4 linked regions of the Bombyx mori genome follow. The protein of the gene in region 1 purifies or fractionates together with the protein of each later gene. This does not show direct contact. Links are inferred from orthologs where the notes say so. Each region holds a gene or a part of one and is shown in the gene's direction. Other genes may lie near its edges.

The links.
Region 2: the proteins of survival of motor neuron-related-splicing factor 30 (region 1) and splicing factor 3B subunit 1 purify together in Homo sapiens (co-immunoprecipitation; 5 studies listed by BioGRID and IntAct, with this or other methods). This does not show direct contact. The link is inferred for Bombyx mori from reciprocal best matches to the Homo sapiens genes SMNDC1 and SF3B1.
Region 3: the proteins of survival of motor neuron-related-splicing factor 30 (region 1) and splicing factor 3B subunit 2 purify together in Homo sapiens (affinity purification with mass spectrometry; 3 studies listed by BioGRID and IntAct, with this or other methods). This does not show direct contact. The link is inferred for Bombyx mori from reciprocal best matches to the Homo sapiens genes SMNDC1 and SF3B2.
Region 4: the proteins of survival of motor neuron-related-splicing factor 30 (region 1) and splicing factor 3A subunit 3 purify together in Homo sapiens (affinity purification with mass spectrometry; 3 studies listed by BioGRID and IntAct, with this or other methods). This does not show direct contact. The link is inferred for Bombyx mori from reciprocal best matches to the Homo sapiens genes SMNDC1 and SF3A3.

Annotation. Positions count from the first base shown.
Region 1 is NC_085111.1:9,513,446-9,522,077, reverse strand, and holds survival of motor neuron-related-splicing factor 30, read left to right. Parts: upstream 1-2,981; 5' UTR 2,982-3,153; coding exon 3,154-3,195; intron 3,196-3,271; coding exon 3,272-3,534; intron 3,535-3,654; coding exon 3,655-3,801; intron 3,802-5,114; coding exon 5,115-5,385; 3' UTR 5,386-7,450; downstream 7,451-8,632. UniProt on the Homo sapiens protein: Involved in spliceosome assembly.
Region 2 is NC_085116.1:8,408,120-8,415,288, forward strand, and holds part of splicing factor 3B subunit 1, read left to right. Parts: intron 1-1; coding exon 2-200; intron 201-575; coding exon 576-734; intron 735-2,081; coding exon 2,082-2,374; intron 2,375-3,558; coding exon 3,559-3,717; intron 3,718-3,821; coding exon 3,822-4,010; intron 4,011-4,123; coding exon 4,124-4,306; intron 4,307-4,565; coding exon 4,566-4,744; intron 4,745-4,827; coding exon 4,828-5,073; intron 5,074-5,824; coding exon 5,825-6,037; intron 6,038-6,227; coding exon 6,228-6,444; intron 6,445-6,970; coding exon 6,971-7,129; 3' UTR 7,130-7,169. UniProt on the Homo sapiens protein: Component of the 17S U2 SnRNP complex of the spliceosome, a large ribonucleoprotein complex that removes introns from transcribed pre-mRNAs.
Region 3 is NC_085131.1:3,900,162-3,908,679, forward strand, and holds the start of splicing factor 3B subunit 2, read left to right. Parts: upstream 1-3,281; 5' UTR 3,282-3,657; coding exon 3,658-4,582; intron 4,583-5,979; coding exon 5,980-6,110; intron 6,111-6,652; coding exon 6,653-6,804; intron 6,805-7,597; coding exon 7,598-7,790; intron 7,791-8,085; coding exon 8,086-8,295; intron 8,296-8,518. UniProt on the Homo sapiens protein: Component of the 17S U2 SnRNP complex of the spliceosome, a large ribonucleoprotein complex that removes introns from transcribed pre-mRNAs.
Region 4 is NC_085112.1:8,794,863-8,803,689, reverse strand, and holds the start of splicing factor 3A subunit 3, read left to right. Parts: upstream 1-2,861; 5' UTR 2,862-3,203; coding exon 3,204-3,299; intron 3,300-6,979; coding exon 6,980-7,027; intron 7,028-7,097; coding exon 7,098-7,256; intron 7,257-7,678; coding exon 7,679-7,751; intron 7,752-7,868; coding exon 7,869-7,960; intron 7,961-8,137; coding exon 8,138-8,359; intron 8,360-8,510; coding exon 8,511-8,671; intron 8,672-8,827. UniProt on the Homo sapiens protein: Component of the 17S U2 SnRNP complex of the spliceosome, a large ribonucleoprotein complex that removes introns from transcribed pre-mRNAs.

The DNA of each region.
Region 1 (8,632 bases):
ACATTAATAAATTATGCAACCAGCTGTAACAATGAACCTAAAACTAAAAACCTTACAAAATAATAATTACAATAATAATTGCCATAAGCGGCAATCTATTTTTATATAGTGCTTTTAAAAAATTGTATTTTTAATACCTTTTTTGAAAAATATTGTGTAATTAATAATAACTTAATACGTGATTCGCTACACTACAAACAGCTACTAGACTTAACATGTCCGCGGAACTAAACAGCTTCAAACAGCTACTAGACTTAATATGTCCGCGGAACTAAACAGCTACAAACTACAAACAGCTACTAGACTTAACATGTTCGTGAAACTAAACAGTTCCGCGAACATGTTTACTGGAACTAGTTCCGACACTCAAAAGAACGATGTCATGTTCAATCCAGTTCCGAACATGATTAGCGCACGTCTAGTTTGTACCTATAGTCGGATTTTTTATTAGACGAAGTAAACTGACGTTTACTGTGTTGTCAGTTTTTGATGAAATAAAAATAGTGTTGTGACAAAGTGAACGATTGAAAAAACTCCTGAATTAATGAAATTGCCTCGATTGTCTAGTGAATAGTTAGTGTGCCGAACTGCCGATATCGGGCACGGGGTTCGAATTTTAGCCGTGCTTTGTACATACCAACGAGTTTTCGACGAAACATTATGTTCCTATGGTATCTACCTGTACTGAATACCGACTGTTTTAAACATTAAGAAAAACATTGCGAGGAAGCTTGTAAGACTGTCCTATTTCCAATGCATCATATAGTTGAAACTATAGATGTATAAAATATAACAATTATAGGTACATAGGTAATGAAAATAAAAAAAACTGATTGTAGTTACATACTACTAGTAACATATTATTATATTGGATCACTTTAATACAATTTTATTGTAAAATATAAATAATATTCTTTTATAGTTTGAAATTAATGATTAACTCTTCACACTCATTGTTCATTTATGTGATTGAACGAGAACTGAACGCATCACTATTACTTTAAATATAGCAACATTATTTCACAAAGTGACATTAGCTACTGTCAGCTGGCTTCGTCTAATTAAAAATCCGACTAATTTTTTATTAGACGAAGTAAACTGACGTTTACTGTGTTGTCAGTTTTTGATGAAATAAAAATAGTGTTGTGACAAAGTGAACGATTGAAAAAACTCCTGAATTAATGAAATTGCCTCGATTGTCTAGTGAATAGTTAGTGTGCCGAACTGCCGATATCGGGCACGGGGTTCGAATTTTAGCCGTGCTTTGTACATACCAACGAGTTTTCGACGAAACATTATGTTCCTATGGTATCTACCTGTACTGAATACCGACTGTTTTAAACATTAAGAAAAACATTGCGAGGAAGCTTGTAAGACTGTCCTATTTCCAATGCATCATATAGTTGAAACTATAGATGTATAAAATATAACAATTATAGGTACATAGGTAATGAAAATAAAAAAAACTGATTGTAGTTACATACTACTAGTAACATATTATTATATTGGATCACTTTAATACAATTTTATTGTAAAATATAAATAATATTCTTTTATAGTTTGAAATTAATGATTAACTCTTCACACTCATTGTTCATTTATGTGATTGAACGAGAACTGAACGCATCACTATTACTTTAAATATAGCAACATTATTTCACAAAGTGACATTAGCTACTGTCAGCTGGCTTCGTCTAATTAAAAATCCGACTATTACATATTTATATTTATTTTATTTTTAATTTTTTAAATTAAATTGTATACCAATTAATTGCTCCTTCAGGATTTATATTTGTTTTTTTTTCACGACTAAAACCGCGTAGAAAGTTTAGCCATTATAGTTGACGCATGCGCAGTACACATATTTTGCATACATTTATTCAACTAATAAAAATAGTAAATTAAACAAAAAACGAGTAACTTCGAAAGAGAACAAACGTGTTTTATATAAGAACAATCGAAAATGAATATTTACGAGTCATTAAGGATGAAAAATATTAAAAATTGCATTAGAGGGGCTAACTTGTAGGTATATTTTTAATTTTTTTTTTTAAATAAATAAATGCAGAACAAACAATTATTAACAGTGAACAATCATGAACAAATGATGAACAAACGAATTAATAGAAAATAAGTATAAAATAGGAAAAAAATATTTTTTTGAGGGGCTAACTTCATTCACCTGGCTATGTCAGCGTAACCCTAACTTTAGTAGGTGAGCTCACGGGGCTCAAACCTGGTGAAGTAGGTGAGCTCACGGGGCTAGTAGTAGTTTTATTTTTCCAAATGGAAAGGCACAGGTATCATACCACACAGCGTAATCTTTTATATGTATTTTTTATTTTATGAAATATGATACTATGAAATGAATTGAAGTTGATTAATCTATGAAACATGGCATGAAATGAAATGAGATCTCAGTAAAATGGCGGTCATTTACTGAGATTTTTTCAGTGGACTTTTTGGAGGATCCCGAGAAGTTTATGCCATAGATATGATATTTAAATATTTTTTTAAGGGATTTTATGAACTAGTAACAAAGACCTTTAGGTCAAACATTTAAACATAATTTATGCTATACACAGGTTAATTTAATGAAAGTTTATCTCATTTAGTTGGAGTTTGAATATAAATGTAATGGCAGGCAACACTTGACACATGATTACAGATTTTGAATATTAGAATTATTTTAAATGCTTAATAAACAGATGATTGTCTTCTCGTAAGAAAAAGTCAGTACTTTTAATCTAGATATGGTCAAAGCAACATGTAAGAGTTTTACAAAAATATAAAGATAATAATTTTATAATGGTGTAACAGTGTTCAAACTATCTGCAATATAATTATAATGAAGCAGTGTTTTTTTAAATAGCCCCTCATTACCTACAGAACCCAATCCCCTCAAATTTAAACGTCCAACATTTTTCATAAAAATAAGTTTATAAATTAAAATAAGACATGCCTTAAAAGTGTTAGTTACCAGGTCATAAAAATCCTTAAATAAAAAAAAGTTGAGAGCACTGATTGTCAGATTTGTCTGATGTCAAGCAATGACAAGCATTGAAGCAACAGCAGTAAAAAGTTGAAGCGATAAATTATCAAGCAAGCAAATTAAGCATTTGTCGCCTGGTTGATTGAATTTAATATATAACTATGGCCGAAGATCTACGAAATTATACCTTACAATTGCAACAGGTAGGTAATATACATTATACCCAAAATATTTTTGTTTACCAAATATTTTACTCACTCTTGATGGTATTTTTCTTAGGTGGAGGCAGCGTTATTAACGGATCCACATAACGAAGAACTTTTGAAGTTAAAGGCTGATTTAGAAGAAGTAATTGAATTGACACAAGATTTAATTAAGACTCAAGACGGTGATTCAAAAGTCTCTAATATTCATGGTTCTAGTAATAGTGATGATGTTACAGCGTCCCTGTTGGCTGCAGAGGAACGAGATCCTGCAACTAGGCACTATTCTAAATGGATTATTGGCGAAAAATGTTTGGCAAAATGGAGAGCTGATGGAATGTAAGAATTAAAAAATGCTTTATTTCTGGAACTACTGTACACTTTTTACATTACAGTACTTATAAGTTAAACATATTGTATGTGAATTAAACCGATATTATAGTGATCTTAAAATTCTAGGTTTTATGAGGCTCTCATTGAGGAGGTGCTAGAAGACAATTTAAAAGTAAAATTTGATGGATACACAACCTTGGAAGTAGTCTCATTGACTGATATAAAGCCTTTAAATTCAGGAAGTAAAAGACCACATAGTACTGATGAGAGCAAGTAAGTAGAAATAAATCTCCTTGTTTTATATTTCATGAGATACATTATAATGAATACCAAATTGACCCTTGAAATACAACTGTCATCAAATAACAAAAATACTTACAATGTACTTAATAAAATTATAATATTAAATACTTCAATTATATTTATATATATATTATTAATATTCCATTTGAATCTCATGACTACTGTATCATTTGGTCCATGTTGTATAGCTGTGCAGTGAGTTTTACTGTTTTTAGATATAATGTGATTCTTGTCAAGTCTCAATCGTTGTGTTTACTGAGTAAAAAAAGTTATTTTAAAAACATTCAGTTCATGAATAATGTTAGATAGGTTAGAATTAATTCTTTAATAACATTTGCATTTTCGCATTGGCAGTAAACACTGGTTACAAAATTTGTTTAAAATCAGAGTTATTGTGATTTACATTATTTTAATTGAGAATGACAATTTTAACTTGAAGATATGCTTTGTCATTGGTATCATTTAACCTGAAATAAAAATGGAATGGATAAATGAAAATGGAAATGGAAATTTAAATGGATAAATTTTGAATTTACTTGTAATTGTGTAAAATTTATTGGCAGCAGCCTTCTTAGTATTCTTTGTGTTCCGTACCATATTTTATTTTCCCTGATGCTGTAATGTACCAAGCAAGCACTGAAATAATACTTTCATCTACATCATTTTGTAATTTTTGCATGTTCAAAACATATTTAAAGCTACTTTTACAGTATAATCTTGTAATTACTATTTTCATGATCAAAAAATCAGTAGTAAAAAGTATTAAGAAACAACAGAATCAAAGATGAAATGAAAATATTCAATGTGAGATTAAACCGTAATTTCAATTAAAATTGTTATTGTTGTGGAAAATGATTAAATTTGAATATTTGTTTCAGACTTATTGTATGATTAATTTTTTTATTTAATTCTAATAGTATTGTTGTAAATTGTAGAAAGAAATACATTAATTGATGTTTTTCCACTTTATATTTAGTGCTTACTGGAGCCCATAGAAATCACATAATTAAATATAAACATTGACCTTACCACTAGTATATATAAGATAGGAATGATCCATATGAATTAGGAACTTAGGTAGGAAATAAAGATAAAGATAGTACAAGTAGTTCACTGAGTCTGGGGTCATATCTGTATCTGATATCTTTTGTGTGCTTTTTCCCCAACCTATTATGATAAGAGCATAAAAGATAACATCCACTGAAAGTCTAGTGAAGGAGAACTCCACTTTAAAAAAAAACAGATGGAATTTAAATTCACTAATATAATGTTTTTCTTTCCAGACATGGCAAAGGGTATAACAGAGAGTATTTAAAGAAAAAAAAACAGAAGAAACAACAAAGATTCAAACAGATTGAAGAAGAACGAGAATCTGAGAAGAATAAGTGGTTATCATTTCATACTAAGGCTTCTAAAAAACCTGGTGTCAGAACAAAAAGTATATTTGCTTCTCCTGATAATCTGACAGGGAGAGTAGGAATTGGTACTTGTGGTATATCAGGTAAACCAATGACTGAGTATACACCTGGCGAAAAGTGGAAGAAAGGAGGATAAAAGCTTCAAAATAATTATAATTGTATCATTGTTTAGTTTTAATAGTCAACATATAGAAAATGGCAGAATATCGTTAAACTTCATCAAAACATTTATTTACTAGTGCAAAGGTTCAAATCTGGCCAGAGGCTGAACATAAATAATATTGAAAACATATTTCCGGGACTATTCTTCATTTATGAATGCACAGATAAATAAACTTTATTGTTAATTTTGCTGTAACTCTTTACATTAATTTATTTCATCTAATGAAATTATCAGTATGGGTCTCCCGAAATATTTATACCATAACATGGCTTTAGATTTTTAATGCAGAAAATGAGAGCTCATGTTCTACCGATTTTTTTAAAATAATTGAGCAATAAGTTATAGTCTAGATTCCAGAGGATTATACGGCAAGGTAAAAGCATAAAATTATTATTTATCTCAATAGTGGCCCTTAAGACCAGCCTTAGCAACTATCATTTACAATATTTTCTCAATGAAACAATGATGAAATATCCTATTTGTCTGATTTGATATAGAATATAGTCACTTGAAGAGGAAAACGTCTTATCTTGAAAAAATATTGCTGATGATACCCTAAGCCTGTATATAGTTAAGGTAGTCAATAATCGGAGGTGACTTACAACGAAAGATCTAAAGTACTAGATTGTGTCGTAATCAGTGGTAGGGTTGGGATCGCATATTTTTTTCTCTTGTGTTAATACTGCAATTTTCTGTAAATGTTTTACAGTACCAACCTATTGTATTATATGAGCTCTGTTATTGTCTAACGATATTTTGTCGAACTTTTAGACAGGGTGTAAGGAAACGGCTCTTGAAGTTGAACCGGTATAAATTACTTGTTTCTTAACATAAATGAAGAATAAAAAAACTTGGCTAATTACAAAATATAATTATTGTAAATACTGCACAATATAGAACTAATGTGTTCTTGGTAATTGCGTTGAGCCACTCATAGAATGTTGATGGTTGCCGACGCCGGGTGCCTATAATATATGTAAACTATAAGATATATACCTTTTTTTATTTATTGCTTAGGTTGGTGGACGAGTTTACGGCCCACCTGGTGTTAAGCGGTTACCGGAGCCCATAGACATATACATCGTAAATGTGACACCCACCTTGAGATATAAATTCTAAGGTCTCAGTATAGTTACAACGATTGCCCCACCCTTCAAACCGAAACGCATTACTGCTTCACGGCAGAAATAGGCAGGTGGTGGTACCTACCCGCGCGGACTCACAAGAGGTCCTACCACCAGTAATTATGCAAATTATAATTTAGCGGATTTTATTTTTATTACACGATGTTATTCTTTCACAGTGAAAGTCAATCGTGAATATTGTTGAGTACGTATTTCATTAGAAAAATTGGTACCCGCCTGAGATTGCACCGGTATTCGACCGGTGCATCGCTCAACACGAATGCACCGGACGTCTTATCCTTTACGCCACGACGACTTCTAATGTGTTGTGATTGGTATTACAAAAGTGCTACAATAATATTAAAGGTTTTATTTAATTTAGTTTTTTAAAAGGTAAACGAGCATATGGCTAATACTATTGGAAGTTGTCATTGTGGCATGGACATCAGCAATGCTTGGGGCATATCTAAGTTGCTGCCCGTATATAAATAAAAATTTAATACAAATATATCTTAAAGCGAATGAAAAAAAAAACAAGAATGCTATAAAGTTTTTCGAATCAGTTTTTTTGTGTTATAGTGTTAAGAATCGCTTGCATCCCATCTGTGGCCCGGAGCTGTTCCCTCACACCTTGTGATTATATATGTTTGTAGTTTTGTAAAGGCCTAACTCACAAAGGTCAATAACAGTTAATGTGAGATAATTCCTTATAGGAATCCATTTAACTGTAAAACGACAAACTTTGGTTTTACAGCTTAATCACCACATGCCATTGTCGTTGTGTAACAGGTGATTAAGTAAACGATGTTTACGAATAAGCCGGTCATAAATCAGTTATGTGCGTGTCGAATATGACAGTAATACGCGTGTTTATTGAACTGGTAAAGCGGAAATAAAGTTTACATTTTACACAACTAAGTTGTTTTATTAAATCTTGCCTTCTTCCATCGCTTCATGGGTAAACACAGTAATAGAACATCTGCACAATCTTAAATGAGGCTGTTTTCAAGATGTTTGGCTAATGGCATTTTATTAAACGGGTCCTTCTAATGCCCTCCTAATGGTAATTTATTTAACGGGTCCTTACCACGGTTTTCACTTTTGATGAGTACCTACCCTTCATCACGATCACGGGTCCGCCGTCAGACTATCAGTTTATCTGTGATCATACCGCTTGCAACAGCGCCGAAATATCGGGAATTCATTAAAATTGAAAATCGTGGTAAGAAACTATGGTAAATAATAGTGTGCGTAATGTAGATAGTCACGAAAGTTTAAAACAATTCGTAATAAATAGCGTATTTTTTTTTGAAACAATCAATTTTTAAGCGGAATCTGCATGTTTTACATATTTTTTACCGAGAGAAATGGGGTATCTTCCAGGTACCATTATCACTATATAGTCAGCATACCTCTCAGTAGGTATGGACCATTCAACCTCAGAGTGAGAGAGTTGGCAATAAGGCAACAAAGTAGTGGTGGAACAATCCCACCCTGTAGGCATCGTCTTAGTATACTCATTCTATCACCATGTTTGAAATAAAACTTAAAACGCGATTTCCTTTTAGCTTTCCGTTTAGCCTCCTTATATTTGGTCGAGATTTTAAATTTCTACATGATATATGATAGGAAATTGCGTCGTAGCGAATAAATATGTCTTAAGTTTTGTTATCCGCTGTGATTTACTAGATTCCTGAATAGGTACTGCAGAAATTCGTTCTTTTGCCTTCCCTTTTAAGACGACCTCGACAGATGCTAGGTCCCTATTTCAGTCAGGAGATAAAAGGACGGTATCGATGCTATTTTTGTCACAAATGAACAAAATCTTATTATTTTCCGAACAGTTATGATAAATTGTCCCATTACAGTAATAATGTGTAACGATCTAGGGAGTACTTTAGTCCTCTAAATTTCCCCTTATGTATATATAGTTTCTAAATTAGAGCTATGTCAAATTTATTTGCTTTGAGCACACGCCCCAGAAGGGCTTGTTAACGCTAATCTAATATATAAAATTCTCGTGTCACAGTTTTCGTTGCCATACTCCTCCGAAACGGCTTGACCGATTTTGATGAAATTTTTTATGCTTATCCGGT
Region 2 (7,169 bases), on another chromosome or scaffold:
GATTCTTGTCGTCATTGAACCTCTGCTTATTGATGAAGATTATTATGCGCGTGTCGAAGGTCGCGAGATCATTTCAAATTTAGCTAAAGCAGCCGGCTTGGCTACTATGATTTCTACAATGAGGCCTGATATAGACAACATAGATGAGTATGTACGAAACACAACCGCTCGAGCGTTTGCGGTAGTGGCATCGGCCTTGGGTAAGTTTTGTCATATGAATATTTAATTATTTTTTAAAGGGCATATTTACTGTCGTCTTCTTGTCCCTCGCCTCGTCTTATGCCTCTATGGTGTTTCCTCTAAAAACAAAAAAATACTGACAGGGTCCGTACTAACACATGTAATTTAATCTGTTTTATAGTTTGCTGTCAATCTTTTTGACAGTCTTATGAACATGATGATTTGAGTTAGTGGTATGGTTAAGTCTATGGGGAAATTATAATAATTTGTTCAAGTTTGCATACTTGCTATTCCCTATTATTATATTCCTATCCTAAGAATAAGCTATTTTTAACATAGGCTGTTGTTAACATAACACATCTTCAACACCATAAAAGAAATCTTTTTTTTTCCAGGTATTCCATCTTTATTGCCATTTTTAAAAGCTGTGTGCAGATCTAAGAAATCCTGGCAAGCACGTCACACAGGAATAAAGATTGTGCAACAAATTGCTATTCTGATGGGCTGTGCTATTCTGCCACATTTGAAATCTCTTGTTGAAATTATTGAACATGGTAAGATTAATATTTTAATTATATTTTAAGGATTTACTGAAACTTTCGGAATGCCACAACACCTAGTGGTTCCTGGTGATAGAACCTCTTGTGAGTCCGGACGGGTAGGTACCACCACCCTGCCTATTTCTGCCGTGAACCAGTAATGCGTTTCGGTTTGAAAGGCGGGGCAGCTGTTGTAACTATACTAAAAAAAAAACACCAATCTTTTCCGTAAACCATAGAATATAATCTAATCAGTGTATTCTTAATATGCCTCTATTAGTTTAACCCGTATTTTTACCTGTGTAATCCTATAAAGTAATTTTTAATAACTAAGAAACATCTGATTAATTTGAAACTTTACACATTATTAAAGACCAATCAATTAACATAATTGGATATCACTTTGCATTAATGACTTGACGACGATCATTAGTATAAACATATATTTTTGTATTTGTACATTTACTGTAATAATGTAATAAGGTCCCGGTTTTTCCCGAGCGCTATGACATGTCCTTCTTCAAACGAGGCTTGTGGAGAGTATTAAGCGGCAGGCAGCGGCCTGGCTCTGCCCCTGGCATTGCTGACGTCTATGAGCGACGGTAACTACTCAACATCAGGTGGGCCGTATGCTCGTCTGCCTACTACGGCAATAAAATAAAAATAAAATTGATATTATTATAAATTATTATTTAACAATAATATTTACCTCTATTCGATTTATAAATATAATGTAGCCCAAAGATATAGTTACGCCATGTATTTGTTGACACAATATTTGGTGATATTTTGTAATAATAGGTAGATAATACTTATTTTTTGCATTAGTATTCTAAGTAAGACATTCAACTTTTATTCTTAACTACATACTATTTTATTTTCGTTGATGAACAGATGCGATCTAGTGTTAGCGATTAATGGACACAATAGAATCGTCTGTACCGCCGCTCAGTTTTACATTAAACATAACTAATGTCTCGGTTGTCTAGTTGATTCTAAACACGTCATTTCGGATCCTCCGGATCCACTAACGGTGCTTTTAGGTACCTCAAGCACCGGCCATCGTTCTTGTCGAACCCGTCGCTTGCGACGAAGGGCTCGACGAGTAAATTAACCCTCAGACACAGCCCACTGAGTTTCTCGCCGAATCTTCTCAGTGGGTCGCGTTTCCGATCCGGTGGTAGATTCTGCGAAGCACGGCTCTTGCTAGGGTTCGTGTTAGCAACGTCGTCAGGTTTGAGCCCCGTGAGCTTACCTACTAGTTAAGGTTACGCTGATATAGCTTCTCAAGGCTTTCAGCTTAGGTAGGGAAAAAAAAGATTCTTAAATTACAGTATTTAAATAATTCATTTTATGCAATAGGTCTGGTGGACGAACAACAGAAGGTCCGAACGATCACGGCGCTGGCGAGCGCGGCTCTGGCCGAGGCCGCCACGCCCTACGGTATCGAGTCCTTCGATTCCGTGCTCAAACCTCTGTGGAAAGGTATTCGTACGCATCGTGGTAAAGGTCTGGCTGCATTCCTGAAAGCCATCGGATACCTCATCCCTCTCATGGATGCAGAATACGCGAATTACTACACACGAGAAGTGATGCTAATTCTTATTCGTGAGTTCCAGTCGCCCGATGAAGAAATGAAAAAAATCGTCTTAAAAGTATGTCTCTTTTTTTTCTTTTGTAATTCTATTTTTGGTGCTTATTGATTTTTTCATGTTTCTATCGCCTATAAATGTTTTAAGAAAGTTTACATATAAACATTTCTTAATTAAAGTTTCTGATTTAGAAACATTTTGCAGTGGTATGGGGTGGGGTTAATTTTCAAATAACAAAAGATTTTAACCAATATCTATTCAAATCAATATCAAATCAATTCAAAAGATTTCAAATAATAAAATAAAAAACAATTTAATGTTTCATAACATTATTGCTATTAATGTAATATGATTTATAGATATGCGAGAGAGATGGCCAGTTGTTGCATACACATAATATGCACACACATCTGTATATCCATTGGAAAATAGTGATCTCTACTCTCTTGTTTTACAACGAATTACGATGTTGTTTCTACAAAAAAGTTGCTTCCTAATGAGTTATTTTATTTTTATTTATACTTATTGTACACAAAAAGAAAATACAATAAAAACAGATTTAAAGAATTCTAAATACTATGTACAAAGGCGAGCTTAACTCATTCATGAGTTTTCTTCCAGCAAACCATTATCAGAGAGAAATACGATGTATAAGAGGGGAATAGTGTACAATATAAGAGCTATTAAAGCATGATTTTTAACTAAGCATTAAAAAAATAATCTAATATTAAATGAAAAATACATATAAATAAAAATACATAAAACAATAACTTAAATACGATTAAAGTGACAGGAAATGTTTCTTCATTTGACTCTTAAAAACTTCTAGAGAGGAACTAGCACGAATAGGTTGAGGGAGAGAATTCCATAATCGCACTGCTTGTATTGTGAAAGAGCCACTATAGCGACTAGAGCTGTGTATGGGAGTTTTTAAAAGAAGAGAAGTGGCTTGTCGACTAACTTTGCCGTCAGGAATCAGATATTCAAAGCGTTCACGGAGATAGATAGGGGCATCAGGATTGTGAAGAATAGAATAGAGAAAAGAGAGAATGTTATCATTAGTTATCATTAGGAAGCAACTTTGTTGCTGTTGCGGATAAAATAATAAAGTCAAATGTCTAACATGAAACATGCCTATTAGCTTAGACTGTAAGTCTTAGATAATGCATCAGTCATATACTAATTATCTCACCAAAACCAATAATCACTGTAATGTAATTTAATACACATTGTACTTAATATTTTAGGTAGTAAAACAATGTTGCGGTACCGACGGTGTTGAGCCTCAATACATAATGGATGAAATATTGCCTCATTTCTTTAAACACTTCTGGAACCATCGTATGGCCCTCGACAGACGAAACTATCGCCAGCTTGTCGACACCACAGTGGAAATTGCAAACAAGGTACTAACTATTTCGACCAGAATCATTGTATTTCCATTAATTCACTCAAAAGTAATCATTTTCCCAATCAGGCATTGCTTACATTGTGAAACTATTGATCGCAGGTCGGTGCATCAGAAATTATCAACAGAATTGTTGATGATCTAAAAGACGACAATGAGCAGTATAGAAAAATGGTGATGGAGTCCATTGAAAAGATTCTCGCTAATTTAGGAGCAGCAGACATTGATTCTAAGCTCGAAGAAGCTCTTATCGATGGAATATTGTATGCATTCCAAGAACAGACAACTGAGGTAAAACATTAAAAAAAGTTTAAATGTCTGATTTTTAAACACTTAAGTCGTGACACAAATCTTTTGTAAGTAATCTCTAACTTTATATGATTCAAATTGTGATTTTTCGATAGGATGTTGTGATGCTGAACGGTTTTGGAACAATCGTGAATCAATTGGGAAAACGCGTAAAGCCCTATTTACCACAGATATGTGGTATTATTCTTTGGCGTATGAACAACAAGTCTGCTAAAGTTCGGCAACAAGCTGCCGATCTCATTTCTCGGATCGCTGTCGTGATGAAAACTTGTCAGGAGGTAATCACATTTTCTTTGCCATATCCTCTTGTACGCTATGCTTCCTTACTAAATTAGTATGTAGTATAATTTTTTCGTAATATATTTTACAAAATGGGCAAACAAGCTCAACTGTCGCAAAGTTAACGGGGGTCCATACACCGAATTTAATTTGTCTTGAAGTATATTTGGATACATTAGGAAATGTATCCAAATATACTTAATTTATAACATCATTACCAATTGATTTTGAAAATTTTAATTGCTTGCTATTTCATAGGAAAAGTTAATGGGGCATCTTGGTGTTGTACTGTATGAGTACTTGGGAGAGGAATATCCTGAAGTGCTAGGCTCTATACTTGGTGCATTAAAAGCAATTGTCAATGTTATTGGAATGACAAAGATGACCCCACCAATAAAGGATCTCCTGCCTAGGCTTACACCCATTTTGAAAAACAGGTAACCTTGTTCTATAAATAGTGACTTGATAACTTCATAGAATCTTTAAATTAAATCTTTAATATGTTTTTTTTTAATTCCAGGCATGAAAAAGTACAAGAGAATTGTATTGATTTAGTGGGTCGTATTGCAGACAGAGGACCGGAATTTGTGTCGGCCAGAGAATGGATGAGAATATGTTTTGAATTGCTTGAACTATTAAAGGCTCATAAGAAGGCAATTAGACGAGCGACTGTAAATACCTTTGGTTATATTGCTAAAGCCATCGGTCCTCATGACGTACTCGCAACCTTACTTAACAATCTGAAAGTGCAAGAGAGACAGAACAGGTCATTATTTAATTAATAATTATTAGTAGATTAGTTAGCTTATTAAAATGAGTAGGATACGTTAGATCCTGCATGTTTGTTATTATTATTATCATTTACATAGGGTAATCAAAATAAAAGAACCCGTTTTACCAAAATATCCAAAATAAATTCTTAATAATAATATGGTCACAGGAAGTTGATATAATTTTTTCAGATATATTATGATCACATTGGCCCATCTAAATTTACAGTAAACTTATTTTATTTCCCTACATATTCTCTGGTAGCCTAAGGGGCTATTTCAGCGATGCCATGGTTGCTAGGTCAGCTCACAGGGCTCAACCTGAGAGATCTCGCTAAAATTGGTTATTCACAGAATCTACCACCGACTTGGAACCGCGACCCACTGAGAAAATCCGGCGAAAAACTCAGTGGGTGTTATTTCGCTCGTCGAACTGTGTCGTAATCGAAGAGTTGGACGAGGGCGGTGACTGATGCTTGGAGCCTAGAATAGAAGCACCCAAAAGGGATCTGATAAGACATATTTCGGTGACGGCGACTTTGCCCTTTCCGTCGCCTGAGTCGAATTAGCGATGGACAGAAAAAGTGGGTTATCGTATCGCGCCGCTTTTTCAAAGTACCATTCTCACGCTTCCTTTAGACACTTACGAATCGGTTCTAGTAAACTGATCGATGTTTTCTGTGTATGGATGGAGTTCGTGTAACTAATGCACTAAGAGAGATATTTAACGATGTAATTAATTTTCAGAGTGTGCACAACGGTCGCTATTGCTATAGTTGCAGAGACCTGTTCACCTTTCACAGTGCTACCTGCTTTAATGAATGAATACAGAGTACCGGAATTAAATGTTCAAAACGGTGTGCTCAAATCACTATCTTTCCTTTTCGAGTACATTGGAGAAATGGGCAAGGATTACATTTATGCAGTTTGCCCATTATTGGAAGACGCGCTTATGGATCGGTATGTTACATGTTTTCTGCCCCAAAAACATTTTCCTTTTTCGTTGTATAAATTAGATCAGTATTGAATAGTAATATAGATACGTTGTTATTTAAGATTCATTGGATATTAGTATAAAGAAGCTTTTTATTTTCTAAGCTTAATCAATATTTCCTCAAACCCCAATAAAATTGATTATTAAATTTCACAGAGATTTAGTACACAGACAAACGGCTTGCGCTGCCATAAAACATATGTCGCTCGGCGTGTATGGTTTCGGCTGTGAAGATGCCTTAGTACATCTATTAAATCATGTTTGGCCAAATATTTTTGAGACATCACCGCATCTGGTGCAAGCCTTCATGGACGCTGTTGAGGGCATGCGAGTTGCCCTAGGTCCCATTAAAATACTTCAATATGCATTACAGGTTTGTAATATTCATCAAAACATTTTTAAGAGTTAATTAAAAGATACGTCTTCTAACTACTATTTTCATGTTTCTGAAGTATATGTGATATAAAATATTGTCATCTATATACACTTCGAATGTGGTCACGGAGTATGTTATGTTAAACGGTTCCCAATACCGTTAAGAGACTATACTATCGAAAACGCCACCCAATTAATTGCAACATTTGTAAGTCTCAACTTAATTTGAATAATGGCTGCCCTTGTGCTTAAAATCGCAGGCACGACACATATAGGCAGCTCCATCAGTACCCTAGCTAAGAACTAGGTGTAAAAATATATGACTTTCTGGTGTCGACAGGAAATGTAAAATACTACTAAAGTTTAGGTCGCTCTGTATCTTCTAGTTATAAATCCTAAATTCTATTATTATGTATGTCTAGATGTTATGATGTTATAACTTTTGTGGATATGGATTTTGTGGATATTGAAATTAAAGTACTAATTTACAAAAAAACTTTAATGAAGTGCATGACCATTCACAGGGCCTGTTCCATCCAGCGAGGAAAGTACGCGACGTTTATTGGAAAATTTACAATACGCTTTACATCGGAGGACAGGACGCACTTGTTGCAGGATATCCCAGAATACAAAATGACCCAAATAATCACTTCATTAGATACGAATTAGATTATCTGCTTTAAAACATTATATTAAGATAGTTATAATTAAGAAACACTTCTG
Region 3 (8,518 bases), on another chromosome or scaffold:
ATAAGATCGATTGATAGGTGGATGTAATTTTGCAGATTCAGCATATGAAATCGAACTTTTGGCCATGGATTCTTTAATAGAGCGTTGTCTTGCATGTTCGGGGCAGCTCTTACTTATAGCTGTATGTGAGATTGATGAACAGTGTAAGCACTGAATCAAATCATCATCAACAGTACATGAATCTCCAGAGTGTTCCTGTCCACACTTAAAGCAGCGTGGCTTAGATCTACACTGGCTCTTAATATGACCATACCGGCAACAATTGTAACATTGTATGGTTGGGTAAATATATAAATCTACAGGCAATGCTGTATAGCACATATATATTCTAGTTGGTAAAATTTGTCCATCAAATGTAATGACCACCGTCTCTGTATCATTAAACACGGTATTACCATCTATAGTTTTTTTAACTTTTAATCTTCTAGTTTTTAAAATTCTACCACACCCTATTGGAACAGAAACATTTTCGATAATTTGCTCTGGGCTTAAATCAATAGGAATCCCTCTTACAATTCCCATTCGAGTGATGTTAAAAGTAGGTATAAGAGCTTTATATTTGTTAGCTGGTAATATAGAATTTTGGATAAAATTGTTGGCATCTGAATGGTTATTAAAAGCTAGAGAAAGCCTGTTTCTGCCAATTTTTTTTAAACTACCGTTGACTATATTTTGGAAGCTATTGTGTTTTAAAAATCTACCAAAAATGACAGGATGTAAACTTACATTGTCATTTGGAGAACTTATGATCTTACTAATGTGGACAACAAAGGGAGCTGCGTCAGAAGGTAAGTATAAACGATTAACATTATCTGAATTAGGTGTAACTGCGGCGTTGGAGTCAGATACAGTATGTGAAGATGGGGAAGAAGGAATATTATGTGGAACCGACTCAGTAACATTAGATTCACAAGAACAATCTGTGCCATGATCTAAATTTTTGTTGTTCCTCTTCCTTTTTTTATTGCAGTGTCTGCAAGTCTTAGGCGTATTTCTTTTACGTCTCAAAATCGACGTGCTATTTGACCCATCAGTATCCATACTGGAGTCATATGAAATAGTTACATGATGTGCGACCGCAGGGGGAGAACCCCCCGGGTCTTCAGGTTCATTCATGTACAGTAAAAGTAAAAAAAAAAAAAACTTACCCTATAAAAATATATATATAAACAAAAACTAAAATCTAAATATAAATAAAAGTATTTACAGCTTAAACAAACTTTCCTAATCTATTTACACAAAAATTATCAAATTATATTAAAACAAGAAAAAAAGGACACCCGCCACGATCGAAGTTCCCTCGCAAAAAAAGCCATTTTATTTAATTTTAAACTATTATTTTGGTGACGCAATAATTGACTTCCACACTAGCAAGTTAGCAATCTAATCAAACAAATTTGATAACAAAAAGGAAATTGTTCATCTGTTTTCAACAAGTTTTTATACCCATTCCCATTTGTCGTCTATTTTGACGTAGTATCTATTCATATTTAAGCTTATTAAACCTTTACCTTTGTTTTGCATTATCTATGATTCCAATTTGTCTCTTATTTAGTTGACTTAAAGGTCTTAGTTACCAGGTCATAAAATCCTTTTAAAAAAATTCTTATTTAGTTCCGGACTTTTTGGCGGGAACGCGAGGAGTGAAGTTGTGTGATTTGTTTTATTTTGTCTATTTAGTGTTTCTTCGGGTTTAAATGTGTAATAATGGTGGTTAATTAACTGTTTACTATCTGTGAAAGTGCACAAATGTGGGAAAATGAAACAAAGCCGCTGGACGTAACTTCTCGGGATCCTCCAAAAAGTCCACTGAAAAAGTCTTAGTAAATGACCACCATTTTACTGAGATTATATTTTATCCCATATCATCTCATTTCATCCCAGTTGATTAATGTCTCAAATTAATCATCTTCATTTCATTTCATTCCATAATATCATTTTTCATAAAAATATGAATATAAATTAAAATAAGATGTGACTTAAAGGTCTCAGTTACCAGGTCATAAAATCCGAAATCCCTTATTTAGTTCCCATGGCGCATTTTATCCGATTCAATCCGTTAATTTTTTTGAGGCCCTCTTCTTGGTTTACTAGCTTTTTATTTCCGAAATAAGCTGTAACGAATGAAACGTGACTATAGTGTCAACAATGTAAATCAGATAAAAAATGATAAAAATCGACGTCTTAATTAAGACTACTTTGTTAATTGTTTAAATTTTTCGACGGCAGCTTTAAATTTATACAACAAAAGTGCTGTTATGTACGCTGTTCATTCTGGTAAAAGCGTCAGAACGAGATAGACATTACTAGATTTATTCAACTTATTTAAATCAATAAATTTAACAAAAAATGGAATCTTATTATTAGATTCTACATAAGGCTCAAAAGCTTCTGCAAATTTTAAATATACTACGGTGAATATTACTCAATTTCAACTTTACTGCAAAGATAAAAAGAAGCTCTTTGATGTGCCAACATTGTCGAAGCGGATCAACGGCGTGAATCGCAATTCCGATTCGATGGTAGATTCAGCGAAGCACTGCTCTTGCTAGGGCTGATGCTCGCAAAGTCTCCTAGGCTAGGCCACGTGAACTCGCATACAAGTTCGGCGAAACTAACATAGCCGCTTGTGGTTACTAGCAATAGGTCACCAAAAAAAAATTTAATGAGCAATCCGAAGGTGATGGGATTTTTACAATAATTCTTATACGGTCTAGTTTTTTTAAATAATTTTTACCATTCAATGCATTAAACTTGGTTTACGGTCATAAACCTTTTGAGTTAAAAGTGATTTAAGTAGTTACTTACTTATAACCTCGATCTAGAAGATATATTCTCTCTAGAAAATATCTTCTCCTCATCACATGCCAAAGAGGGCTCAATGAAAGTGCTATCACAGGGATAGTGCCTATTTGCAAAGAAAAAACTATTCAGTGTGCGCACGCAATTTGTACGATCTGTAATAGTATAATTATTTACTTCCTGGTGGTACTAACTGGTGCTAGGGCTGGAAGGGTCTTGTCGGTCCGCGCAGGTGTATGCGGGCTCACCATGCCTATTTCTGCCGTGACGCAATTTGTTTCGGTTTGATGGGTGGTGCAGCCGTTGTATTGTAAAAAATGTAAAAACTCATATCCCAAGGTGGAAGGCGGCATTTACGTTGTTGAAGTCTATGAGCTTCTTTAAGCACTTAGCATTACGTGGGCCGTTAGCTCGTTCGTCCTTAAGCATTAAGAGAAAATATAATTCAAGGGAGGTTTGTTCGATATGTTTTAGTACTGTTTATTCGGAAACTATCTACTTGGAAACCTTTTTTTGGTTAAATCGATAGTTCTAACAGAAGACGATTGTCAAATTGACCTTCACAAAGTTTTACTAAAACCAAAGGCCAAAAAAGAACCGAAAAAGTGACGACTTAAACAACAGTAAGTATTATCTATAATTAAGCACATAGATTCCACATTATACCATAGACAAGACAGTCTCTGTGGTATGTTGACACTTATTGTCAAGCGCGTTAACCTCAAACAAATCAGTTTTGTTTTTTACTGTAAATTTATAAATGAATAGATCTTAATAATCACGAACTAAATCATACCTTTGTAGTTAAAAGTCTATTTTATACAGTGAATTCAGTAGCAGTACTGTGAATTAGCTATGGATGGTCCACCAGGGACCGGATCTACGAATAACAATGCTTCGGTGGGGCCTCCACCGGGGATGCCAAACTTTCCTCCGATGCCGCCACCACCGGGATCTATGGGACCGCCACCGGGGTCCATTGGACCGCCACCAGGAACTATGGGACCGCCACCAGGAACTATGGGACCGCCACCAGGAACTATGGGACCACCACCAGGAACTATGGGACCGCCACCAGGAGCTATGGGACCGCCACCGGGATCCATGGGGCCTCCACCAATGGGTCCGCCTGGACCACCACCTGTTAGCTCGTCTGGTGGACCTCCAAACATGCCGCCGGGAATAGGTCCACCTCCACCAGGAATGATGCCTCCGGGAATGGGACCACCGCCAATGGGGCCGCCTGGAATGGGTCCACCTCCAATGGGCCCCCCGGGTATGGGACCTCCTGGTATGGGTCCACCCGGTATGGGACCTCCCGGAATGGGTCCTCCCGGAATGGGACCTCCAGGAATGGGTCCACCCCGAATGCCACCAAATATGATGCGTAATAAGAATAATTATAATAATCAAAATATGGACATGGGACCACCTGGGATGAGACCACCTATGGGACCATGGGATGGACCACCAGGCCCACCTGGTCCACCTGGCCCCCCTGGGCCTGGGTGGGGAATGCAAAGTGATGGTCCGCCAGGATGGAATGATCAAGATGATGATGATGAAGAAGAAGAAGAAGAAGATGGGGAAGAAGATTTATCCTCTGACCAACATTCTTCTCTGCCATCACTCTTGACCATGAAGATTGAAACACCAGAAGAATTTAAAAATAAACAGGGAAATGCTGGAGGTGTAGTACTCCCAAAGGCTCTGGAAGAAGCTCTTGCTTACAAAGACCAAAGACAAGCAGCTCTTGGTAGTGAAGAAGATAAAGAAACAGGTAACTTTTTTATTTTATAGATTGGTGAACAAGCCATGGCCCACACATTATTAAACTATCAATGGAGCCCGTTGGCATCACAACATGAAAGCCACCACACCATTATATATGGTTGAAGGCTCAATTGTATGTTAGAACTGCCATCCCGATTTAAATTCACTTAGGTGTTTCAGAATTTTTCTTAAAAATGTATTCTTTTTCAATGGACTTATTATTGATAATGAAACAAAAAACGAATAATAAAATGAAATACAAAACATACTGATACTCTCTTCTTAATCATTTCTATGTTATTTTTATAGTTAATCATTGTCAATAGCCAAGTCAATGTCTGTAATCGATTTTAAGTTTCATTTTTACTAGGAGATGACTACAAATTCATAACTATTTGGAATTTCTAAAAGTCTGAGCACATTATTACTAATTATGATGATTGTAAACTTAAACATCCATCTTAACTAAGTTTATGTTTCTTAGCCTAAATGAAAATAGCCCAGCCTTTATTCTTTTATCCAGTATCTCTATATATCTATCACGGCAATCTAAATTACTTCCATATTTAATAAATTTTTTTTTTATCACACTGAAAATTTTTATGGTTTAATTTCATATTTTAATTGTGATTTTATTGCTTCCAATGTTTTGAACAACTACAGTTTTTCTGGTCACTGATGTAAACTGTAAAACTGTAGCTGTAGCTTTAAATATACCTATATCATGCAACATCTGCAGAAAATACTAGCCCATAGACATCAACACATAAAAGCCACTACCCAACATCAGACATGAATTGTAAGTCTAAATTTCATAGTAGAACAGCTGCCCCACCCTTCAAACCGAAACACATTACTGCTTCATGGCAGAAATAGGCAAGGTGATGGTACACACTCGTGCATGCTCACAGCACACTCTACTACCAGTATATGTTGCTCTTTTAAGATCCAAAATGTTCCCTACATATTTCTTTCAAAAATCCTATAGACATTCTGAAAAAAATTGAGGTAACTACATTGGCAAACAAGCACTTTACTTTGAGTTCTATTTTGTAAAAAAGGGTCAGTTATAAAGTTATATATTTTGTATATAAAATAGCACACTTACCTTGTTGGTGGTGGTAGGACCTCTTGTGAGTTCGCATGGGTAGGTACCACCACCCTGCCTATTTCTGCTGTGAAGCAGTAATGCGTTTCGGTTTGAAGGGTGGGGCAGCTGTTGTAACTATACGTGAGACCTTAGAACTTATATCTCAAGGTGGGTGGCGCATTTACGTTGTAGATGTCTATGGGCTCTAGTAACCACTTAACACTAGGTCGGCTGTGAGATCGTGCACCCATCTAAGCAATAAAAAAAATAGCACATTAAACAGTACCTTATAATGATGTTTTGCCCCTATACAGATGTGCAAAAAGACATGGAAGCACCGCCAGCTCCAGTGATCAGTACGGAGTATGACGTGGAAGAGGATGAACAGTCAGACGATGAAAACATTCCTGATCCACCGATGCCACCAGTAATTTCCAAACAAGAGGTACTTTTTATTAAAGTATATATTAGTTATCAGCAAGCAAAATAACCTTAAAAAAAAAATAGGATACATATTTCATTGAGTTAGAAATATTGAAATGCCCTTATTTTTCAGGTGTGAACGATAAACACTAGATATCATATTATTCATATGATATCAAACATATTACTCTCTAAGCTTATGATCTGAATATTGTTGCATACAAGCAAGTTTACTTTGAAAACCGGAAGGATATTTCTTACATTTCCTATTCTTTTATAGATACTGTTTATGTACAGTCTGACTAAAAATATTGTGTAGAAAAAAAACAAAATAAAAGATATACATTTAATCTCTAACTCTCTTAAAATCTTTTGTAAGTATAAGCAAAGACCCAGACTTTATAATCCAAAAACCATAAACTCAATGATCGTAAATACTATTGTGTATATGAAAATTCATCATCGTATTCATAATATTGATTTAAGTATTTTTTTAAAACATGTTACTTGCGTTACAAGATTAAGAAATAAAGATTTTATTTAATTCTCATTTTACTTCCTCAGTCCCAAGCTAGCAAATCCAATAAAAACAAAAGAAAGAAAAAGAAAAAGAAGCTGGCTAAACAGAAACGCAATGAAGAGTCTAAGACAAAGAACAACGCACAAGAAGAAAAGAGATCCAGTGACAAAGAAAATGAAAAAGAAGCAGATATTGAGTGAGTGTAAAAAAGCTTTTATATTTTAAATTGCACTATAAGATTTTATTTTCTGTTACCGTTTACTGAAAACCACTTTTTGTTCACTTGTGTCATTTCAATTATTCTGACCGCGACTTGCTCTCTGCTTAACGTTAAACTTTTTTGGTAAATAATAATAAAATAATTGCGTTAGAATATGGTTTCATTTGACAAGCGCGTATAGAAATCAGTAGCTGAAGTCGTCGTGACCTAAAGGAAAAGATGTCCGGTGACCGCCCGGTGAAGATCGTGTTGAGTGATGCACCGATTTTCGAATCCCAGGCGGCTACCAATTTTTCTAATGAGATACGTACTCAACAAATGTTCACGATTGACTTCCACGGTGAAGGAATAACATCGTGTAATAAAAATCAAACCCACAAAATTATAATTTGCGTAATTACTGGTGGTAGGACCTCTTGTGAGTCCGCGCGGTTAGATACCATTACCCTGTTTATTTCTGCCGTGAAGCAGTAATGCGTTTCGGTTTGAAGGATGGGCAGCCGCTGTAACTATACTTGAGGCCTTAGAAATTATATCTCAAGGTGGGGGGCGCATTTGCGTCGTAGATGTCTATGGGCTTCAGTAACCACTTAACACCAGGTGATCTGTGAGCTCGTCCACACACCTAAGCAATAAATAAATAAAAGCTTGCTTAAGTTATAGTTGGGAATGGTCCAAAAGTATCCTTCAATATCTCAAATTTCGTACCATCCAATTTTGGATAGTTTAACTTACATATTAAATACTTATTTAAAAAATAATTAACCAGATACGTGCAAGAAAACATACAGTTTCATGAAATGGAACCAATGTACCGTCAGTTCCATCGGATACTGGAAGCATTTAAAATTTCGGAGAAAAAGGAAGAGACGATCAAAGATGAGGGTATGGATGCTCCAAAACCAACAAAACATCAGGATAAAGTGCAAGACCAGTTCGCAGCGGATGATGAGGCAGCTGAGGTATGTAAATAACCAAATTCATCTTAAAATTACCAACTTTACATACATAACGATAAATTAAGTCATAAAAACATAAAAACTTTCTAATAAATTTGTTCCACTTTTGGATTTAACAACATTTTACACTACACTGCAATTACTGTACTAACACTACCTTTGACAGCAACTTTGAAATGCCAATACATACATCAGAATTTTAATTGACGATTCAATAAAAATATTAAATTTAATTAAAATTTTCACGAACCTTTCACATAACTGCTAGCAAACTACTGTATTGTATAAATGTTCTCAGAAAAACGCAGCCGACGAAAAGGAGCGCCTATCAAAACGCAAACTAAAAAAATTGTCGCGTTTGTCAGTGGCCGAACTGAAGCAGCTAGTGGCTCGACCCGACGTCGTGGAAATGTACGACGTGACCGCGCGGGATCCCAAACTACTTGTCCAGCTAAAGGCACACAGGAACACTGTCCAAGTACCCAGACATTGGTGTTACAAGAGGAAGGTGAGTAGGATAAAAGAAACGCTATCAAAACTAATTTAACTAAAACTAAATAGACTCCAGAAAACAGGTAGAAAGATTTTCATGTTGCCACAGCTTGAATAGGTAAACAAATTTTCTGATTTGCATTTAATTGTTACAGACACAGAAACAAAGAATTAAATATTAAAATTAGAATATATATTTGTTATTCAGTTTTTTGTATTCGTTAATATGTTTTTATTCA
Region 4 (8,827 bases), on another chromosome or scaffold:
ACTAAATTAAGTGTTTTTACGTAATAAATTATGATGGCAATATATTTTTGCGGTGGTATTTAATTATCTTCTAAGAACTTCTCGAAATATAAATAAAAGTTTGATTTTTGAATCGAAATGACTTTCGAAACAAACGGTTCGTGGATTATAATATTATAACTGTTGTGTACCTACTATCCACCTCAGTACCGTGTCAGAGGTTTTTTTCGGAATCTGGAATACTCACTCTGAGCGACGTACCAGTCTTTCGGTAGAAAAAATAAAAAAGCTGATGTTTTTATGCACCAATAAGAAATAAATAATATTACTAACTTGTTGTTTATATTTATGAACAATGTTGACCAAATTCTGATTTAATAATAATGTTCATTTTAATGTACATAATATTCCTTTTTTTTTTTATTGCTAGAAGGGTGGATGAGCTCACAGCCCACCTGGTGTTAAGTGGTAACTGGAGCCCCTAGACATCTACGACGTAAATGCGCCACCCACTTTGAGATATAAGTTCTAAGGTCTCAAGTATAGTTACAACGGCTGCCCCACCCTTCAAACCGAAACGCATTACTGCTTCACGGCAGAAATAGGCAGGCCGATGCCTACCCGCGCGGACTCACAATAGGTCCTACCACCAGTAGTACTTGTAAAATATTTAGTATGAAGTCAAATTCCTAGATACAATATACTATTTATAATCATTTAATAACTAATTTATGTGTAATAACTATGATTATTAACGTATTTCATGAATACCGTACTAGGTTTAACTCGTTTACCCGTTTTATCGAAGTTTATTAAGATATCAGGATATATTTACGTATTAGTTAAGGTATTATAATATTACATCATGAATATATTCGTATTAGCTAATATTGACAAATATCGGTATTAACCCATCTTTACTATCTAGTGACTTATAGCTACCACTGTTGTACTGTACTAAGTAATTACCTACTTATTCACTGTAAAATGAAAGAAATTTAAGTGTCATAACTTTATAATATCAAAAGAATTTTATAATATAACCAAGCTTGAAATTCTGATGATTTATTTGAATTCATTGAAACCATAATTTTTTTAAAAGGATTTACTCTTTTGAAAACGTACGCGGTAATTTTCATAAGCGCGTTGCAGTGTACCGAATTTCTGGATCATTAATCTCGAATCAATGATTCGAAATTCTAATGCAAAAAAAGGCGAACTCTGCACATCACTAACAAATAATACCAATGGAGGGTAGAGTAGAACTGTGTAGGTATCTATATGAAAACTGTCCGTCGAAATGTATTAAATTAGGGTAACGCTACATTAGCATCAAGGTATAATTTCAAGGAACCGCCAAATATTATTAGAGAGTAGGTTTGACAGATACTTTTTCTAAATCAATAATTATACCATTCACAGATTACGAAATAAAATCACAAAAGGTAAGGTACACGTTTTCTTGTAATACTTAATTTTTTATGGTTATATTTACTGTAGTATTTTGTACACCGTAAGTTGTTGAAATTATCAATAATAAACGAAATTTCGTCGAAATTATATTATTTTTTTAACTCCGCATACTTCAGTTCAATGATTGCTACATTTATACCATATCCGTTGTCTACACCAGCGCGATTGTGAGAGGTTTTTGAACTGATTTATAGCATACAGCTGGACACTTTAATTTTTTCTCCCTTATGAGATGATTCTCCTTACCTCTTCCTTCTAGAACCAATATGCATGTCTTTAATGTTGTTCATATTTCCATTCGGAAATTAAAAAAAATATAATAATGATTATATCTCTAGCACTACATAAATGTTTTCATTGTATTTTATGAATGATAGCTTCGCCATGGCATGATGATTTAGATATTGCATTGCGATAAAAGGTATTTTTTATCAAATTATACGTTGTAATATTCTTCCATTTGCTGTTGTAGGCAGCTCATCAAACAACCCACCTGGTGTTGAGTGGCTGTAGTTGCTCATGGACTTCGGAAATGCAGGGACTTCGAAAAAAAAGCCGATGCCTACCGAGTTTTATCAAAGATCTCGAGACTTGTCGCAGTAATCTTATGGTTCAGTAAAACAATAAATAAAAACTAAGTTATATAATTAAGATAAATTATCTTTGTTACTATTAATTCAAACAGCTATCTGGTTTAAAAGACTTAAATCCAGGCCCTTAAAAAAATCCTAGTTGTATCTCTATTAATATCTATGATTTTTAGAACAGACAAGATTGTATGGGTTTAGATCTCTTTGCTTTTCCTAGTAAGGAAAAATTGTACCAAAAAATATCTATGCAGTGTGACCATATGTGGCAGGATCTTGCCATTTTGGCAGGATTGGACTCTTACACCGGTCACTCACATGCGCACGAATACGCAAACCCGCAAGTGTAGGACGACATTTGCAAATGATTATGCAAAGTTTTCGCCACATTCGTGGTTTTCCAAGCTGTGTCGGTTTTTAACAGACATCAAAGCGCGCGAACCGCGAACCTTCGCGTAGTCTCTCACACATTCGTTTGCCCAGTTGCGCCGACGATTGCGAATGTAACGGACGAATCGCCATTTTCATAGTTTTTCACGTCTACTGTGTAGCGTATCTTCATCAAAAGAAATCCCATAAAAACCGCATGGCTGTTAATGATGTCTGGGAAAGAATTCAAAACTCTTTTTCTCTTCAATGTTCTATTGACGAATTAAAAAGGAGGAGAAATTCGTGAGACATTCGTAAACAAGTGTAGGAGGAAGCGCAAACGGGTTCGCAAATTGAGTATGCGAACCCATTTGCACGGCCGCTAGGTTTGCGAATGAATGTTTGACGGCCTTTCACATGCGCGCAAACATTCGTACAATGTACGAATATTTGCGCGCATGTCAGTGGCCGGCATAAGGCAGGATCTATAGTTAAGAGATGGTCACACTGTATCTATGGTTTACGTATACATTTCATACATACTACTTCAATGAATAAAATATATCTAAAAAACGTTGATGATTTGATTCTTCATTATTGTTATTATCTAAAATATTGATTTCAATACTCAGTAACGTAAATTTAGTACAGTTGATTCAACTGAGTTGAAGCATATTTTGTATGCTACCATATATTTTCTCACATAATTTAAACTTCAAAATCATTAATCATTATTTTAATATTATTGTATTTTACAAGGTGATTGACATAAAACAATTTCTATAACCTTTAAAAATGGAAACAATTTTAGAGCAACAACGAAGCTACCATGAGGAAAGGGAAAGAACCATGGACGCAATGGTCAAAGAAATTCTTCACAAAAAAACTGGGGTAAGCCATGTTACATGATCACTGTAGATTGGATTTACCTAAGGGGTGCGGGTGCCTTATTGAGGTTAATAAATTAAAAACAGTTGCTTGATGTTAGCTTATTGAAATACATACACACATGAATACCCCTTCAAAGATTTTTTTGTTTGTACATTAAGGTGAAACTTAGTAACAATCACCTAGTACACCTATTGCACATAGTAATATGGTTACATTTTTTGTTGTATTTATTTTTTAGAAATGAACTAAATGTATTTGTTTAAAATTAAATGTCTAATTCTGATGCATTTAACATTTGAATGAACTGCTGAATGAATGGTACCTTTGTTGTATAAATTCAGGGCTGTTATCGAACAGATGAAACAATTAATAAGTTAGTTTTGTTATGAAACTACTAATTACAACTTAGATTTTTTACATTTTTAATGTGATCTGCATTGTTCCATCTATAACAATGTTTCAGCTTGATTTATTGTTGATTTGGTTTGTCCCATTAGGGACACCTTGTATGGTACTATTAGGCACTACAACTTTGTTAGTTTCTGTCTTGAAGCTATTCTACACACCAGTCAGAACTGAAGCCTCTAGTAGACTCTTATTTTGTGGCATTAATGTCTTAATGTACAAGTAACCATTTAATACTATTTAGGCTGTGGGCTTATGCATTATTTCTTCTTCTTTTTCTCCACCTTATCCCACTATGTGGGGTCGGCACAGCTAATTTTTCTCTTCCATTCTCTTCTATCAGCCGTCATCTCAACACTCACTCCTCTCTCTCTCATATCGTCATTCACACACTCCATCCATGTCTTCTTTGGTCGACCTCTTCCCCCTCTACCTTGCACTACCATTTCCATACATCTCCTAGTCACATGCATCTTCTCTCTACGCATCACATGTCCATACCACGCTAACCGTCCGCTCCTTAATTTGTTGTTTACCGGGGCCACTTTCACACTTCCTCTGATATACTCATTCTTTATCTTATCCATTCTTGTCACTCCACACATCCATCTCAACATTCGCATCTCTGCCGCATGCACTCCTCTTTCATGCTTTGCTTAACTTTCGTCGCCCAACACTCAGATCCATACAGCACGACAGGTCTAATGATCGTTTTGTAAATTTTGCCCTTGAGCTGAAGGGGCATTCTACGATCGCATGCTGTTGCAGAGACCTGTCGCCATTTCATCCAACCAGCGTTTATTCGATTTGCGACGTCCCGGTCTATGTTGCCGTCGTTCTGGAGTATAGAGCCGAGGTACTTGAAGTCGATTGGCGTGAAGTCTGAAGAACCACCAAAATCACAAAACATGTGCTTGGTTTTTGTTCGACAGATCTTCAAACCCACGTTTTCCAACCTTTCTTTCCATTTTGCCAATCTCCTCTGTATCTCAGGCCCTTCCTCTCCAACGAGAACAATGTCGTCGGCGAACAGCATACACCAAGGCGCCTCTTCCTGTATGTCCGATGTTAGGGCATCCATTATTAGGATGAACAGGTAAGGGCTTAAAGCTGATCCCTGGTGTAAGCCTACCGCCACACTGAACTCGTCGCTATTGCCAGCTGCGGAGCGTACGTACGTACTAGCTCTACCGTACATAGCTCGAACAAGCCGTTGGTATTTCCCTGGCACTCCTTTCACTTTCATGCTCCACCACAAAACCTCACGGGGAACCCTATCATACGCTTTTTCTAAATCAACAAATTGCATTATTATGTAATTACATATCATCATTATCCTGCCCTTCTCCCAGTCACCTGGGGTCGGCGCAACATGTTTTCTCCTTCCATACTCTTCTATCATATACCATTTCTTCGCTCACTCCCCTCCTACCCATATCGTCTTTCACACAATCCATCCATTTCTTCTTAGGTCTACCTCTTCCTCTAAATCCTTCCACATTCATAGTTAACACTCTCTTAACAACCTCATTTTCATTCCGTCTCATCACATGTCCATACCATCCCAAACGTGCACTCCTCAGCTTCTCTGTCACAGGTGCCACTTTCAGACTTCCTCTAACATATTCATTCCGTATTCTATCCATTCTCGTTACTCCACACATCCATCGCAACATTCGCATCTCTGCTGCATGCAATCGCCTTTCATCCGCCACTTTCGTTGTCCAACAAGCTGATCCATACAAGACGGCAGGCCTTATTAAGGTCTTATATATCTTCCCTTTTAGGGGAAGAGGGATGTGCGAGTCACATATGGTGCCCGTGACCTGCCGCCATTTCATCCATCCTGCGTCAATTCTGTGCCTCACAGTACGATCCAGTTCACCGTCGCTTTGGATAACAGACCCTAGGTATCGGAAGTCTTGACATACTGGCAAAGGTGTTCCGTCGAGGGAAATGGGTGTAAAATTGGAGAGACCGCCAAAATCACAGAACAGATGTTCGGTTTTCGATCTGCTGATTTTTAGGCCAACACTCTCCAACTTGCATCGCCATTTCTCCAGTATGTTTTGGACCTCGAGCCCGTTTTCTCCGACGAGTACTATGTCATCGACAAACAGCATACACCAAGGGGGCTCTTCCTGTATCTCCGATGTCAAGGCATCCATCACAAGCAGGAAGAGATAGGGACTTAGTGCAGACCCTTGGTGTAAGCCCACTGCCACATTGAACTCGTCGGAATTCCCCGCGGCGGTTCGTACATACGTCCTGGCTCGACTGTACATGGCACAGATTAACCTCACATACTTACCAGGTATACCTTTCTCATTCAATGCCCACCACAAAACTACTCTAGGTACTCGGTCGTACGCTTTTTCTAGATCAACGAACACCATATGCAGATTCCTGTGCACGTCGCGATGTTTTTCGCACACTTGGCGTAGTGCAAATATGGCGTCCGTTGTCCCGCGACCAGGCATGAACCCGAACTGGTTTTGGGTGATCTCACTTTCATCTCGCAATCGCTTTTCTATCACTTTCTCCCAAACTTTCATACTATGAGACATAAGCTTTATTCCCCGATAGCTGCCACAGTCTTGCACATCCCCTTTATTTTTGTATATGGGCACCAGCGTACTGATGCTCCATTCCGTAGGGATCACTTCTTCTTGCAGCAGCTTATTGAAGAATAAAGTCAGCCACTTATATCCGTCTTCTCCCAGTATCTTCCATACTTCCACTGGTATACCGTCTGGTCCTTCCGATTTTCCGCTTTTCATACTTCTCACTGCTTCTCTAACTTCATACATACTAATCTCATTCACAAATCCGACGTTCTCTGGCTTCCTATTAATCACTCTATTCCAGTCGTTCTCCTCATTCATTAATTTTTCAAAATATATCTTCCAGCGCTCTTTTATTTCGTCATCTCTTTTTTTCGTTTTTTCTCCTTAGGTACTTGTAACTGATTATGCATAATTAATAATTATGCATTATTTCTCTAAGCCAAAAATAAATATTATATATCTAACAGAGCTCATGATCGTAGGAATTAATGTTAGACTTGAGGAAATGTAATTTTTTTCTCTAATGTATAGGAAATCAGAATTGCTTCATGATGAAAGTATTTGCTATGGAATATATTTATTTTTGATGTAAACCTAATTAATACTTGTTGTTTTATAATTGTACACTGTATGTTATAGAATTTGAATTTTTTTTTGCATATACTACATACTATGCTGAAATATATTATAATGGTTATGTTTCTTCAGCATCGGGAGACTATAAATGCTGATCATCGTTTGAAGAATTTACATGATGTATGTATATACAATTAAATTTACAGTTTGTGTAACCACTAGTCTTTTAGCATATATTAATTGTTTCTAGAGATATATTGAAGCCTCTATAAGACTTAAAGAATTGTATGAAGATAAAGATGGATTACGAAAAGAAGAAATATCAGCATTGTCAGGTCCACATGAGTTCCAGGAGTTCTATTCGAGACTTAAGCAAATTAAAGAGTTTCATAGAAAACATCCAAATGAAGTGAGTTACAATAATTATAATAGAAAATACTTGTGATTTAGTGCATCTATTATGTAGATGTAGAAATTTTTACACCTGAAAAGTTATTACTTGTATAAATTTTGCATAATAATTTGATTAATAAACCATTTTTTTATATTTTGATTTAATTCATGTTTATGTGGGATGTGTGGGATACAAGCATCCTGACTCCCTTGCCAGAATGCAGCCAGTTGTTTAATTTTGCTAGCTGTCTCGAGGAGTGACACTTGATTGGGATCCAGAAAATAAATACATGAATGTAAAAGCGATGAGTAAGACAGGTTAAGGATCTATTTAAATTTTATGGGTCAGATTAGCACCCTAACATTTTTCATAAACACCTTCATCAGTACCCAATATATTTAAAATTTATTTCATATGCATGATGTATTCTGTTGTAGATATCTGTACCCATGTCTGTAGAATTTGAAGAGTTGGCAAATCAAAGGGAAAATCCTGCTGAGGATTACACAGGTATTTGTTGGAAATATTAAATATTTTTTGTACATATTGTCATCATTGTTGTTTTCAACAGAAGTTATGTTATTTTATTATTAATTGTATTAGAAAAAAATAATTATAAATTTTCAGTTCCTGTCGAGTTCACTGATGAAGAAGGCTATGGAAAGTATTTGGACCTACATTCGTGTTATGAAAAGTACATTAACTTGAAAGGTATTGAGGCAAGTATTTCATTGTTTTATATAATAAAAGTTATATAAATTATACAGTACAATGTGAATGTTCATATAGTTTATTTGGAACATATTTATATATAGTCATATATAGTCATTTAAAAGCCAGCATGTTGATTGTAGGATTTTAAGACCAAACCAAAAAGACTAGTATTTTTGTTACAGAAAGTAGATTATATTACATACTTGAGCATATTTGATCATCTCTTTGACATACCTCGTGAAAGGAAGAATAGTGAATACAGGAATTACATTCGTGCATTGCTCACTTATATGAAAGATTTTGTGTCCAGAGTTAAACCTCTTTTGGATCAGGCTCAAGAAATGGCTCTAGGGCATCAGGAGTTTTTAAAACAATGGGAGTCTGGTACATTTCCAGGATGGCCTGTAAGTATGAAATTATAAAAATATAATTGTGTACTTCATTTTATGAAAATAATTTTGTTTAGTATTATTATATATTGAATTGAAATTAAATTTTGAAAATAAATTTAGAAAATGATTAGTACTGGTAACATTGACATTTAAATTCTTGTAGAAAGAAACTGGTGGAGCTTTAACAAATGTGGGGGCGCATTTAGATCTGTCGGCTTTTTCATCATGGGAAGAGTTGGCGTCTCTTGGCCTGGACAGATTAAAATCAGCTCTTATGGCTCTCGGCTTAAAATGTGGTGGAACTTTGGAAGAAAGAGCACAGAGGTGAGTATTATATTAGCTTTTTTTTCGTAAGTTTACAACATTGTAACTATACTGAGACCTTAAAACTCATATCTCAAGGTGGGTGGCCGTATTTACGTTATAGATGTCTATGGGCTCCGGTAACTACTTCACAGCAGGTCGGCTTTGAGCTCGTCC